Linked DNA regions of Lonchura striata. The protein of the gene in region 1 binds, or shares a complex with, the protein of each later gene. Links are inferred from orthologs where the notes say so. Each region holds a gene or a part of one and is shown in the gene's direction. Other genes may lie near its edges.

Region 1 (3,744 bases):
CCCCCTGCCCCACGGACCCCCCTCGGGTACCCCCCGGGATTCCCCGTGGGACCCCCCCACTCTCTCTGTGGACCCCCAGGACACCCCCCGGGTTTCCCCGTAGGACCCCCCAGGACACCCCCACTGTCTCCGGGGACCCCCAGGACACCCCCCGGGATGCCCCGTGGGATCCCCCCCCGGCCCCCGGTTGGCACCTGGTGCACGATCACGGCCGTGACCCGCCCGTCGTCCCCCTCGTACTCGAGGCAGAAGAGCCGCGGTCCCCGGGCCGGCTCCGGGGGGGCCCCGCCGCCCGCGGGGGGCGGCCCCGCGCTGGCATCGGCCCCGGGCCCGCCTGCGGCACCGCGCCTCAGCTACCGGGGCCGCCGGGGCCACCGGACAGCGTCCCGGCGGTGCCCGTCCCCATCCCGGGTGTCCCCAATTCATGGATGTCCCCATCGCAGGTGTCCCTCCAAATCCCCGGGTGTCCCGCACCCTCGTGTCCCCATCCCCACCCTCGGTCCCCCGGTGTCCCCGCACCCCCGGTGTCTCCGCTCCCCGGTGTCCCCCCCCACCCCCGGTGTCCCCCCACCCCGGTGTCCCCGGGGCTGCCGCCCCTTCCCCGCCCATCCCCGGGCTCCCCGCACCGCGGTCCCTCGGGAGCGCGGCTCTCCCGCCCCGGTGCCCCCGTGCCCCGGTGCCCCCGTGCCCCGGTGCCGCTCACCGCCGCCCCGCTGGGGCCGGTACACCGGCTGGTCGGGCCGCCGGGGCCGCGCCGGGCCCGGGGTCAGCCGCGTCCTCGCTCGGCCCCGCGCCTGCCGCACCGCGCGCTCGTACGCGTCCCTGCGCGGCGGCGGCACAGCGCGGTTACCGGCTGCGGGGGCCCGGGACCGCCAAACCGGCCCGGTGACCCCGCCGCACGCCGGTCCCGGGGGGGATGCCGGTACCTGGCGAGCTGGTTGCGGCGGATGTGCCGCACGAAGCCGTGGCTCATGTCCAGCCGTCCCCCGGGCCGGCAGCGCCAGCCCGGTGCCGCCGCCGCCGCCGCCGCCTCCATTCCCGGTACCGGCGGCCGCGGTCTGGACCGGGACGCGGCTCCTTTAAGAGCCCCGCGGGCCCGGCGCGCGCGCGCAGGCGCAGTAGCGCCTCCTCCCCGCAGCGGCGGCCGCGCATGCGCGGAGTAAGGCGGGCGGTTTGAGCCCCCCTTCCCCGCGCCGCGCATGCGCACAGCGGCCGAACCGCCGCCATGTCGAGCCGGGGGCGGCGGGACCGCGACTCCCGCGACCCCCGGGAGCCCCGGGAGCCCCGGGAGCCCCGCGAGCCCCGCGGCGCCTCCCGCAGCCGCCGCGACGCCGACGCCGAGCGGCCGCGGGGCCGGCGGGACGCGGAGCGGGAGCGCGCGCGGCGGGAGGCGGCGGAGGCGCTGCCGGTGGATCTGGCGCGCGTCAAGCGGGAACCGGGCACCGGCACCGGCACCGGCAGCGGCGTCTGGGGGGGCTCCGGCAGCGCCGCGCCCGTGCGGGTGAAGAGGGAGCGGGAGCCCGATGGAGACTCGGACCCCGAGCCCGAGCCCGCCGGTGGGCACCGGGAGGAGCGGGTGGGACCGAGGGGCTGGGGGACACCGGGGCTGGGGGGACATTGGGGTGTGAGGGGACACCGGGGGTGAGGGGACACCGGGGCTGAGGGGACACCGGGGCTGAGGGGACATTGGGGTGTGAGGGGACATTGGGGTTGAGGGGACACCGGGGCCGAGGGGACAATGAGGGTGTGAGGGGACACCGGGGGTGAGGGGACACCGGGGTGTGAGGGGACACCGGGGGTGAGGGGACACCGGGGGTGAGGGGACATTGGGGTGTGAGGGGACACCGGGGGTGAGGGGACACCGGGGGTGAGGGGACATTGAGGGTGTTTGGGGGGTTCTGGGGTGGGAGTGGGGTATTTGGGGGGGGGGGGTTGGGGTGGGAGTGGGGTGTTTGGGGGGTTCTGGGGTGGGAGTGGGGTGTTTGGGGGGTTCTGATACTGGAGGGTCACCAGGACTGGTCCCGGGGTCCTGAGCTCAGCTCTGGGCAGGGTTTGGAGGCTCAGCCCTGGAGGTGTCACAGAGGGGGCTGGGGGGATCATCCTCGTGTTTTCGGGGTCCTCGTGCCCCCTTTTCACACCCTGCCCTCCCCAGTGCGCTACGGGCGCTTCGACCCCGAGGACCAGCGCAGCCGGCACTGCCCCTACCTGGACACCATCAACAAGTGGGTGACGGGGCTCTTTGGGGTGCCCCTGGGGGTCCCCCAGCTGCCCCCCAGCCCCGTGACACCGCTCTGCCCCCCAGAAGTGTCCTGGACTTCGACTTTGAGAAGCTCTGCTCCATCTCCCTGTCCCACATCAACGTCTATGCCTGCCTTGTCTGCGGGAAGTACTTCCAGGGTGAGAGCTGCTGGGGCATAGGGACAGCCAGGAGTGATGTGGGACACCCGAGGGACAGCCAGGAGTGATGTGGGACACCCGAGGGAGAGCCCAGGAGTGATGGGGGACACCCCAGTGCTGCTTTGAGGGACACTTGGGCATAGGGGTGGTGGTGAGGGGGACACCCAGGGACTGGGGTGAGGCACAGGGGGTCTGGGGTGTTGCTGGGGACACCCAGGGACAGGGAACAGCCAGGGACAGGCTGCTGCCAAGGTGTACAAAGAGGGGAGGGACACCATGGGGACACCCAGGGTGGCTGCTGGGGTGCTCAGGGACCCTCCAGTGGGCACAGCCCCCGTACGTGCCCAGGGGATCCTCTCTGTGCCCCCTGCCTCTGGCACGGCGCTCGGTGCCATCCCTGGTGCCACTGTCCCCCACAGGCCGCGGGCTGAAGTCACACGCCTACATCCACAGCGTGCAGCTGAGCCACCACGTGTTCCTCAACCTGCACACGCTCAAGTTCTACTGCCTGCCCGACAACTACGAGATCATCGACTCCTCCCTCGAGGACATCACGGTGCGGGGGCACTGGGGGGCACCGGGGCTGCCTTGGGACCTCCAGGATCGAGGGGTTGGGATCTGTTCCAGATTGAGGGGTTTGGGTTGGGGTCCCCCAGCTCTGAGGGCTCTCTCCCCCCACAGTACGTGCTCAAGCCCACCTTCACAGCCCAGCACATTGCCCACCTGGACAAACAGGCCAAGCTGTCCCGGGCCTACGATGGCACCACGTACCTGCCTGGCATCGTGGGACTCAACAACATCAAGGCCAACGACTACGCCAACGCTGTGCTCCAGGTGACACCTGGGTTAAGGCTTCCTTTTGGGGTGAAACGCCCCAGAACATCACTGTGGGTCTGACAGGCAGATATCACACCTTGTCTCCTATGGGCTGTACACTGTGAGGGTGTCCAGGCTTCATTCTGGGCTGAAACCCTCCCAGAATCCTGTTCTGGTGCTCTCTGGGATGAGTCCCACCTCTTTTCCCACAGCATGTTCACATGGGGAGTGCTGCCTTCATTTTGGGCTGAATCCCCTCTGAAATCCTCCTCAAACCCCACATTGGGGGTCCTGAGGGTGGATCCCACCTTCTCTTCTACAGGTGTTACACCTGGGGGGTGCAGCTGGCCTTTTAGGGTGAAAGCCCCACATAAACCTCCCCAAACCCCTCTGTGGGGTGATCACCCCACCTCTGGATCCTTCCCAGGCTTCTCCACCCATGGGGGCTTGGGGGCTTGTGGAGATTCCCCGCCCATGGCAGTGCAGGGCCTGCCCCAAAGCCCCTCCCAGATCCCTCCTGTGGGGGTCCCA
Region 2 (3,744 bases), on another chromosome or scaffold:
CAGGCTCTTAAAAAAAGTGCTTAACATGAAAAAATATGCAATTGTTACCTTCCACATCCTCCCATTCATCTTCACTTTCATCATCATCATCATTGTTGTCAGTATTGTCTTCATCCATTTCTTTTTTAACAGGAGATTCTGTCTTTAATTTTATCTCCGTCTGAGGATGCTTCAGTGAGTCACTGTTAAAATCACAAAACAGTGGTAGCACCAGGAAACACAGGTGCTTGTTTATCAAAGACTAAAAATAGAGAAACAAATCAAGCATGATCTCTGCATCAGTAACAACCGATTGAGTATTTGACCATCAAACCACAGAAAGAAGTAAGAAAAAGGTCCTATAGACTTGAGTGATAAATAAATTTACCTGCATGTTTCTTCTTTGATAGAATTATCTTTATTTCTAGCATTCTTTTTACTTTCTTTTATTTGTGATTTTGCCTCTTCTTGTTTTGAAAGTTTGGAAGTTTTTGCTGAGTTGGAAACTTCAGTATCACAATCATCTCCCTTTTTCCTAGCTGGAGCTTTTGAGGTCTTTTTTATACTGGGCTTTTTCTCTTCAAAATCATCTGCAAATGACAAAAGAAATGAAGATTAATGTTAGAGGACAGAGTTTCATCTCCATGGCCATCTGAAACAATATCTCCATGGCCTTCATTAGAGGCAGCTTCAGAAGAATGCGAGCAATCACAATGCTGAGCATGTCATTGTTTGTTTACAAACAAGCAGGATTTGAACAGTGAGACTTGTTGGAGAGAAATACCTACATAACTCACAAGAAGTACCTAAAGATTCCTACAGTCCTACCGATGGAATCGGCGGAAAACCAAGCATCGTGCTTGCCACTCATAACAAGTTATTCTCGCATGCCGCTGCTCAGGAGAGCACGGCCGAGATGAAACAGCCCCGCACGGGCTGCTCAGCCTTTGGCAGCGTGGGGGACGAGTCACACGCGGGTTTAACGCCTGGATAACGCAGCGATAACATCCATCTTCCTCCAGGCCGGCGCGCCCGTCCTTCCCGAGCCGACCCCGCGGCTGGAGCGGCCCGAGCCGCGGCGGCGGCGCAGCTCCGGCCCGCCGCGGCCTCCGTGCCGCACTCACCCTCCTCACCCTCCTCACCCTCCTCCGGCTCGTCCTCCGGCGGCCGCCCGGAGCGCCTCTTGCTGGCGGCGGCGGGCCGGGGCGGCGCTCGGCGCTTCCTGGCCATGGCGCGGGCCGGCCCGCCCCGCGGAGGGCGCGGCGGGCAAGGCGAGGGAAGGGAAGGGGAGGGAAGGAAGGGGCCGGGCCATAAAGTCTCGCGGGCGGGCGCGGGAGGCGCGTTGAATGATGGCGGATGAGGTGGACCAGGTGAGCGCTCTGGGCTCCCTCGGGCCGCAGGGGAGGCAGCTCTGGGCAGCCCGGGAGCTCTCCGTGCCGGCTCCGAGCTTGCGCCGCTGCCGGGCCGCGGGCAGGGCTCGCTGCAGGCCCGCCGACCCCGCACTGCCCGCGGAGGGGAAGGGGGAAAGCCGCCGAGGGCAGTGCCCCGGGCTCTGAAGGACGGGGGCAGCTAGAAGGGAAATACGGGATGTGTATGGAAGATGTGGAGGAGGTCGTCACACTTTTTTTAAATTGTGATTCTCGAAGTGCGCCTTTCGCCCAGCAAGGGGCCTCAGGCCGCTGGGTGCTGGGGTTTCACGGCAGCCTCGGGGCCCGGCCTGGCCGCGGTGAGTGTGGGGGGCAGCGTGTGCCCGGGGCACCCGAGGGATCCCCCCGGGGTGTGCCCGGGGCACCCGAGGGATCGCCCCGGGGTGTGCCCGGGGCACCCGAGGGATCCCCCGGGGTGTGCCCGGGGCACCCGAGGGATCCCCCCGGGGTGTGCCCGGGGCACCCGAGGGATCCCCCGGGGTGTGCCCGGGGCACCCGAGGGATCCCCCCGGGGTGTGCCCGGGGCACCCGAGGGATCCCCCCGGGGTGTGCCCGGGGCACCCGAGGGATCCCCCCGGGGTGTGCCCGGGGCACCCGAGGGATCCCCCCGGGGTGTGCCCCGGCACCCGAGGGATGCCCCCGGGGTGTGCCCGGGGCACCCGAGGGATCCCCCCGGGGTGTGCCCGGGGCACCCGAGGGATCCCCCCGGGGTGTGCCCGGGGCACCCGAGGGATCCCCCCGGGGTGTGCCCGGGGCACCCGAGGGATCCCCCCGGGGTGTGCCCGGGGCACCCGAGGGATCCCCCCGGGGTGTGCCCGGGGCACCCGAGAGATCCCCCCGGGTGTGCCCGGGGCACCCGAGAGCCCCCAGGGTGTGCCCGGGGCACCCGAGGGATCGCCCCGGGGTGTGCCCGGGGCACCCGAGGGATCGCCCCGGGGTGTGCCCGGGGCACCCGAGGGATGCCCCCGGGGTGTGCCCGGGGCACCCGAGGGATGCCCCCGGGGTGTGCCCGGGGCACCCGAGGGATGCCCCCGGGGTGTGCCCGGGGCACCCGAGGGATGCCCCCGGGGTGTGCCCGGGGCACCCGAGATCCCCCGGGATGTACCCCGGCACACGAGAGCCCCCTGGGTGTGCCCAGGTAACTCCCTGTGCCGGCACCGCAGGCAGCGTGGGTTCGGCTGGTTCAGCTGTGCCGTGCCACGGCACAGCTATGCTGCTGGTTCCTGCAGTGTAAACTGTGGCTGCCGGTAGGAAAAACAGTTCACTGCTTATAGAATGGTTTTTGTGATGTCCTAAAGATCATCCAGTTCCAGTCCCCCTGTGTGTAAAGAATGATTTGCTGCAGGCTAAAATGAAATATTTTGACTCGCATTGCTCAGGGCTGCGGAGTGTCAGTGGAGTGGTAAATCAGCAGCACTCAGGTTCTCTAACATGTCATGGAGTAATTTGAATTATTTGCATCTGTGTTTTCACTCCTTTGTTTTCTGTGTCGCACATTGAGGAGTGGAAAAGCTGACAGGCTTCTTCTGTACAAATAATGCTGCTTTTTTTTTTTAGCAACAAACAACAAATACTGTAGAGGAGCCACTTGATCTCATCAGACTCAGTCTAGATGAGCGAATCTATGTCAAAATGAGGAATGACAGAGAGCTTAGAGGCAGATTACATGTAAGTAAAACTTTCACAACATTGTCATGCTCATCCAGCTAAGCACTGTGCAGCCTTTCTTTATGTACAACAGTCTGTTAAACAAGTTTACCTGTAATATTCCACTGGTTGTTGAAAAAGTTAGTTTTAAAACATGAGTAATTGCATTTCCTGGTTGAAAGTGCAGAAGTGGTTGGAGAAAGTAGGTTAAGAATTGTCTTAGTTACCAGAACTGTAATGTGATTGGTGGAAAAATCTCATTTCCTCAGTGCTTTGTCAGCTATTAACTGCTTCCCTAGAAAATCAAGAGATGTATTTTGTTCTTCTTGTCTCCTGAATGATACCAAGCAACAAATTTCACTGCTTTTGGCTTCCATTTCTCTGTCTGTGAAATAAGCAATAATGCTGCAGGCCTCTTCATATGATGTACCCTGAGGCCTCTTCTAGACTGAGGTCATTATTATCAAACAAGAATCCCTTAAGGCACACCCTGGGAGGTGTGATGGGACAGGTGCTCAGCTGCATTCTCAGATTTTTGCTTTCTGTAAGTCAGTCAGCCTCCCTGAGTGCTGTGCCCTGCTGGGAGGAGAACCAGTTGCCCCATGAGTTAACTGGGCCTCAACTCCTTTGGAAGCACACAGATAATGAGAGATCCATGAGGGACATGTAGTTTGCAACATGCTTTTTAAGG
Region 3 (3,744 bases), on another chromosome or scaffold:
CTGTGCACAGATGAAGCCAGCTGGGAATGGTGGTGGGATGAAGTTACTGAATGGCTTCAAAAACCTCCCACATGGCCACCTCTAGTGAGTCAACGGACAAATGTGGGGGGTGAAAATCTGCACATAAAACAGAGGGGCCAGCAACAGCAGGCAGTGACTGTTCCCCTGTGCTCAGCACTGGTGAGGCCACACCTCAAATCCTGTGCTCAGCTGTGGGCCTGTTACCAAAAGTCAGTGAAAATAAAAACTCCTTAACACTAATGTAGCATTAAGAAGCCAGCATTCTTTATTCATCTGGATGCATGACGGGATAGGTCCTCCGAAATCTTATTCATGCTGTATTTTACATACATATTGATAGGATTTCCTAGAAGAACCATATATATGAGGATCATTTCCCTGAAGTCATTAACATACGTTCCCTCCCCTCTCTCCATGTGCTCTGTCCTGGGGGTCTCTTTGGTAATCCCTGGTGGTCAGGGACACCAAAGTCACAGCTGATGGCTTATTGAACTGGTAAAAGTTGGCACAACTGGGCTGGCTGCTTTCCAATTCTTCTTCCTACAGAATAAGCATTGTGCAGTTCCATAGGTCAATGGTTTTTGAAGAATAAGCGTTGTATTAACCCACCCATTGTGCAAACAATTCTTCATCTGGCAATAGGCCCTTCTCTGCAAGAAGGATATTGAGGTGCTGGAGTGAATCCAGAGGAGGGCAACTGGAGCTCGAGTTCCCCGAGGAGCTGCTGAGGGAGCTGTGTTGTTCAGTGTCAAGAAAAAGAAACCTGGGGGACTCAACACTCTCTACACGTGCCCAAAAACAGGTTGTACACAGAGGCAGGCAGGGGTTGGTGTCCTTCTCCCAGGTAGCAAGTGACAGGACGAGAGGACAGCCTCAAGCTGTGCTGGGGAGGTTTAGGTTGGACATTAGAAAGAATCACAGAGAAGTTGCCCAAGGGGATGGTAAAGTCAGTGTCCCTGGAGTTGTATAAGGAAAGACTGGATGTGGCACTGAGTGCTATGTTTTGGCTGACGTGGTGGGATTCGTGGGAGATCTTTTCCAACCTGCCCGCTCCGTGGTGCCGCAGCAGCTGAGCCATTCCGGCGCACAGCAGACAGCCCGCGGTCCTGGCGCGGGGGCACATCGAAATGGCGGCAGCCCCGCCGGCGCCGCTAGCCTGGGCCGGCAGCACGGGAACGAAGAGGGAAAAGAGGGAGCCCCGCTCGAGTCTCGTCCGTACGCGGAGGCAGCGCAGCCCGCGGCTCCCGGGCCCCGCCTGCACCGGGGGCGGTGCGGCCGCCGGCCCGGCCCCGTCGCTGTGGGCGGAGGCGGCGGCCATTGGCCAGGGCCGGCTCCGAGATGGCGGCGAGCGCGGTGTCCAACCCGTCCCAGCTCCTGCCGCTCGGTAACCACGGGGGATTCCCGGCCCCCGGTCGGGGCCCGGCCCGTGGTCCTTGTGCGGGGGCCGCGGTGGCTGCGGCCCCTCTGGGGAGCCGAGCTGCGCTGGCGCCGGGCGGGGAGCGGGAGCGCCGGGCGGCGGGGCCCGCGCACGGCCCGGGAGGATGGGAGTGGGGGATAGGTGTGGGGGTGTTGGGGTCGGGGGGCTGAGGTGAGGTGTGGGGCTGTGGGACTGTCTGAGGGAGGCCAGTGGGAGTGGGGATGGGTGTAAGGATCGGGGGGGTGGGTGGTTTGTGTGGGAGAGTAGAGGGGGAGTGTGTAAGGTTGTGTGGAATGTGTCTGTGTTTGTGTAAATAAGCAGAAAAAAACCCGTAAGGCACGAAACACTTGCTTTGTAGAACCTATGCTTTTCTGTGTATCTACAGAACTTGTGGACAAGTGCATCGGTTCACGCATTCACATCGTGATGAAAAGCGACAAAGAAATAGTTGGGACACTTCTAGGATTTGATGACTTTGTCAGTATCCTTTGATGGATGTTTAAGTCTGTCTGATTCATGCTCTGGTCTAAGTGATTTATAGCTCTTCAGAGTTTTTAGTTCACTGACTAGAACCTTTTTATATGGATTGGTTGTATTCTGGTATTTTCAACTTTCAGGTAAAATTGCATTTGGCCTAAGATGAAAATAGCATTAATTAGTCTAGTTTTAAAATCTGGGCGTTATTTTCCTTGAAACTGGATTTTCAGATATGGTGCTAGAAGATGTTACAGAATTGTAAGTACGTTTTCTGCCTATTGTTGCTATTTAATGTTTGGTTCACTGAAACAAAACACTATGTAAGGTCTGCTAGAAAAATGTTTCTACATTTATGGAATAATTACCAGCTAACTAGTTTAACATTGGACTTAAAACTATAGAAGGTGATCTGTTCAGGACAGCCATGTCATAGAGTAGCTATTGCGTGGTTTATACTTGTATGGGGATCCTATTTGTAGTCCTAATTATGCATGGGTTGTGTGAGAAACTTTCCAGTACTTAATTTGGTTTTACACTTCTTTAAGACCTAGGCAAATATTCAGCGAGGTAGCTAACTTAAATGTTTTTACTTTATCATATCATGTTGATATGTATATTCAAAAAATTGTCAGCCTGTAGAGGGTGAATACACATCTCCATGTACTGAGTAGAAGAGACCTTTTCAGTTAGCTTTCTGTACCTAGGTGCTCCATTTATCAAGATCATGCTGCAGTGTAGCTGATTTATTTGTTAGTTCCAACCATGGTCACCTTAATGCAGAGATTTCTGTCAGTTCTATGGTCGAATCTGGAGCCATTGTCCCTGGTTCTGTGTTCTTACTTACTCTTTCTAATGCTCCTTCAGTGAGATCACACCTGAGGGCAGAAGAATCACAAAGCTGGACCAGATTCTGCTCAATGGAAATAACATAACTATGGTGAGTCATCAGAGGCTGCGTGTGTTGACTTTCTGTGCCTGTTAATCGACTGGTGATGGTATTCAACTCCTTTAAGCTGAGCTTTCCTGGTAGTTCCGTTACATCAGGAAGTTTAAGTAGCTTATCTGCATAGCTGGCCACAAAGCCTGGACTTCCAATTTTTTTTTGTGGTTAGAGGAGGGCTAAAGTGGAAATATTTGAGTCTAAGTTGGCTCTGTATGAATGAGGAGTTGTCTCCATTGTGTTGTTTTACCCATCTTGCACTTCTCCATTGTGTGTCAGAGCAGGTGCCATCCTGTGTTAATTTCTAAGCCTTTTATCTGCTTTGATGATTGTTCTGCATGTTGAAAGGATAACATATGTTCTGACTCCCTGTATGGTGTGAAATTCCTACCATCCAGTTACACTGGGGTACACTGTGTTGCCCTTGAAAAAGAACCTGCTGAATTTTCAGCAAGACATAGATACATGTCTGCATCAGATCTCATGTCTCTTCTGGGGACATATTTTCCCCATGGAGGAAGTCCATGCTTTAGACTTACTCTTATTTTGATCCCAAAACCAGTGAAGCTCTTTCTCTTTAGAAGTTCTCAGCTGATAATGAAAAAGATATCAGTAAAAGTAGTGGTTAATATTTTTTTTCCCTTCTGTATTTTTTTTTTTTTCTGTTCTTCAGTTCTTTGTTTCCTTTGCAAGGATGTGCTATGCTGATTTAGTCCCTGTTGCATTTTTGGTTTGTGCATCTCGGGAAATAATTGACTTCCTCTGTAGGGAGGGGAGAGTCAAAAAGCCACTTTTGTGGTCTAGCATGAAATCTTCATGTCCTCAAATGTTTGTTGCAAAGTAAGAGCTGTCATGTATGGGTTTGTAAAACTTAACTCTATGGCACTAA

The links.
Region 2: USP39 (region 1) and LSM3 share a complex: the UniProt entries of both Homo sapiens proteins name them as parts of the U4/U6-U5 tri-snRNP complex. The link is inferred for Lonchura striata from reciprocal best matches to the Homo sapiens genes USP39 and LSM3.
Region 3: USP39 (region 1) and LSM5 share a complex: the UniProt entries of both Homo sapiens proteins name them as parts of the U4/U6-U5 tri-snRNP complex. The link is inferred for Lonchura striata from reciprocal best matches to the Homo sapiens genes USP39 and LSM5.

Annotation. Positions count from the first base shown.
Region 1 is NC_134634.1:362,172-365,915, reverse strand, and holds the start of USP39 (ubiquitin carboxyl-terminal hydrolase 39), read left to right. Parts: upstream 1-1,225; coding exon 1,226-1,556; intron 1,557-2,152; coding exon 2,153-2,222; intron 2,223-2,302; coding exon 2,303-2,397; intron 2,398-2,816; coding exon 2,817-2,953; intron 2,954-3,078; coding exon 3,079-3,231; intron 3,232-3,744. Other genes in the region: C32H2orf68 (UPF0561 protein C2orf68 homolog), read right to left, coding at 195-334, 707-822, 927-1,036.
Region 2 is NC_134614.1:14,624,736-14,628,479, forward strand, and holds the start of LSM3 (U6 snRNA-associated Sm-like protein LSm3), read left to right. Parts: upstream 1-1,301; 5' UTR 1,302-1,325; coding exon 1,326-1,349; intron 1,350-2,963; coding exon 2,964-3,074; intron 3,075-3,744. Other genes in the region: XPC (DNA repair protein complementing XP-C cells), read right to left, coding at 49-182, 368-569, 1,104-1,209. UniProt on the Homo sapiens protein: Plays a role in pre-mRNA splicing as component of the U4/U6-U5 tri-snRNP complex that is involved in spliceosome assembly, and as component of the precatalytic spliceosome (spliceosome B complex).
Region 3 is NC_134642.1:57,675,870-57,679,613, forward strand, and holds the start of LSM5 (U6 snRNA-associated Sm-like protein LSm5), read left to right. Parts: upstream 1-1,301; 5' UTR 1,302-1,359; coding exon 1,360-1,405; intron 1,406-1,823; coding exon 1,824-1,919; intron 1,920-2,145; coding exon 2,146-2,173; intron 2,174-2,779; coding exon 2,780-2,852; intron 2,853-3,744. UniProt on the Homo sapiens protein: Plays a role in pre-mRNA splicing as component of the U4/U6-U5 tri-snRNP complex that is involved in spliceosome assembly, and as component of the precatalytic spliceosome (spliceosome B complex).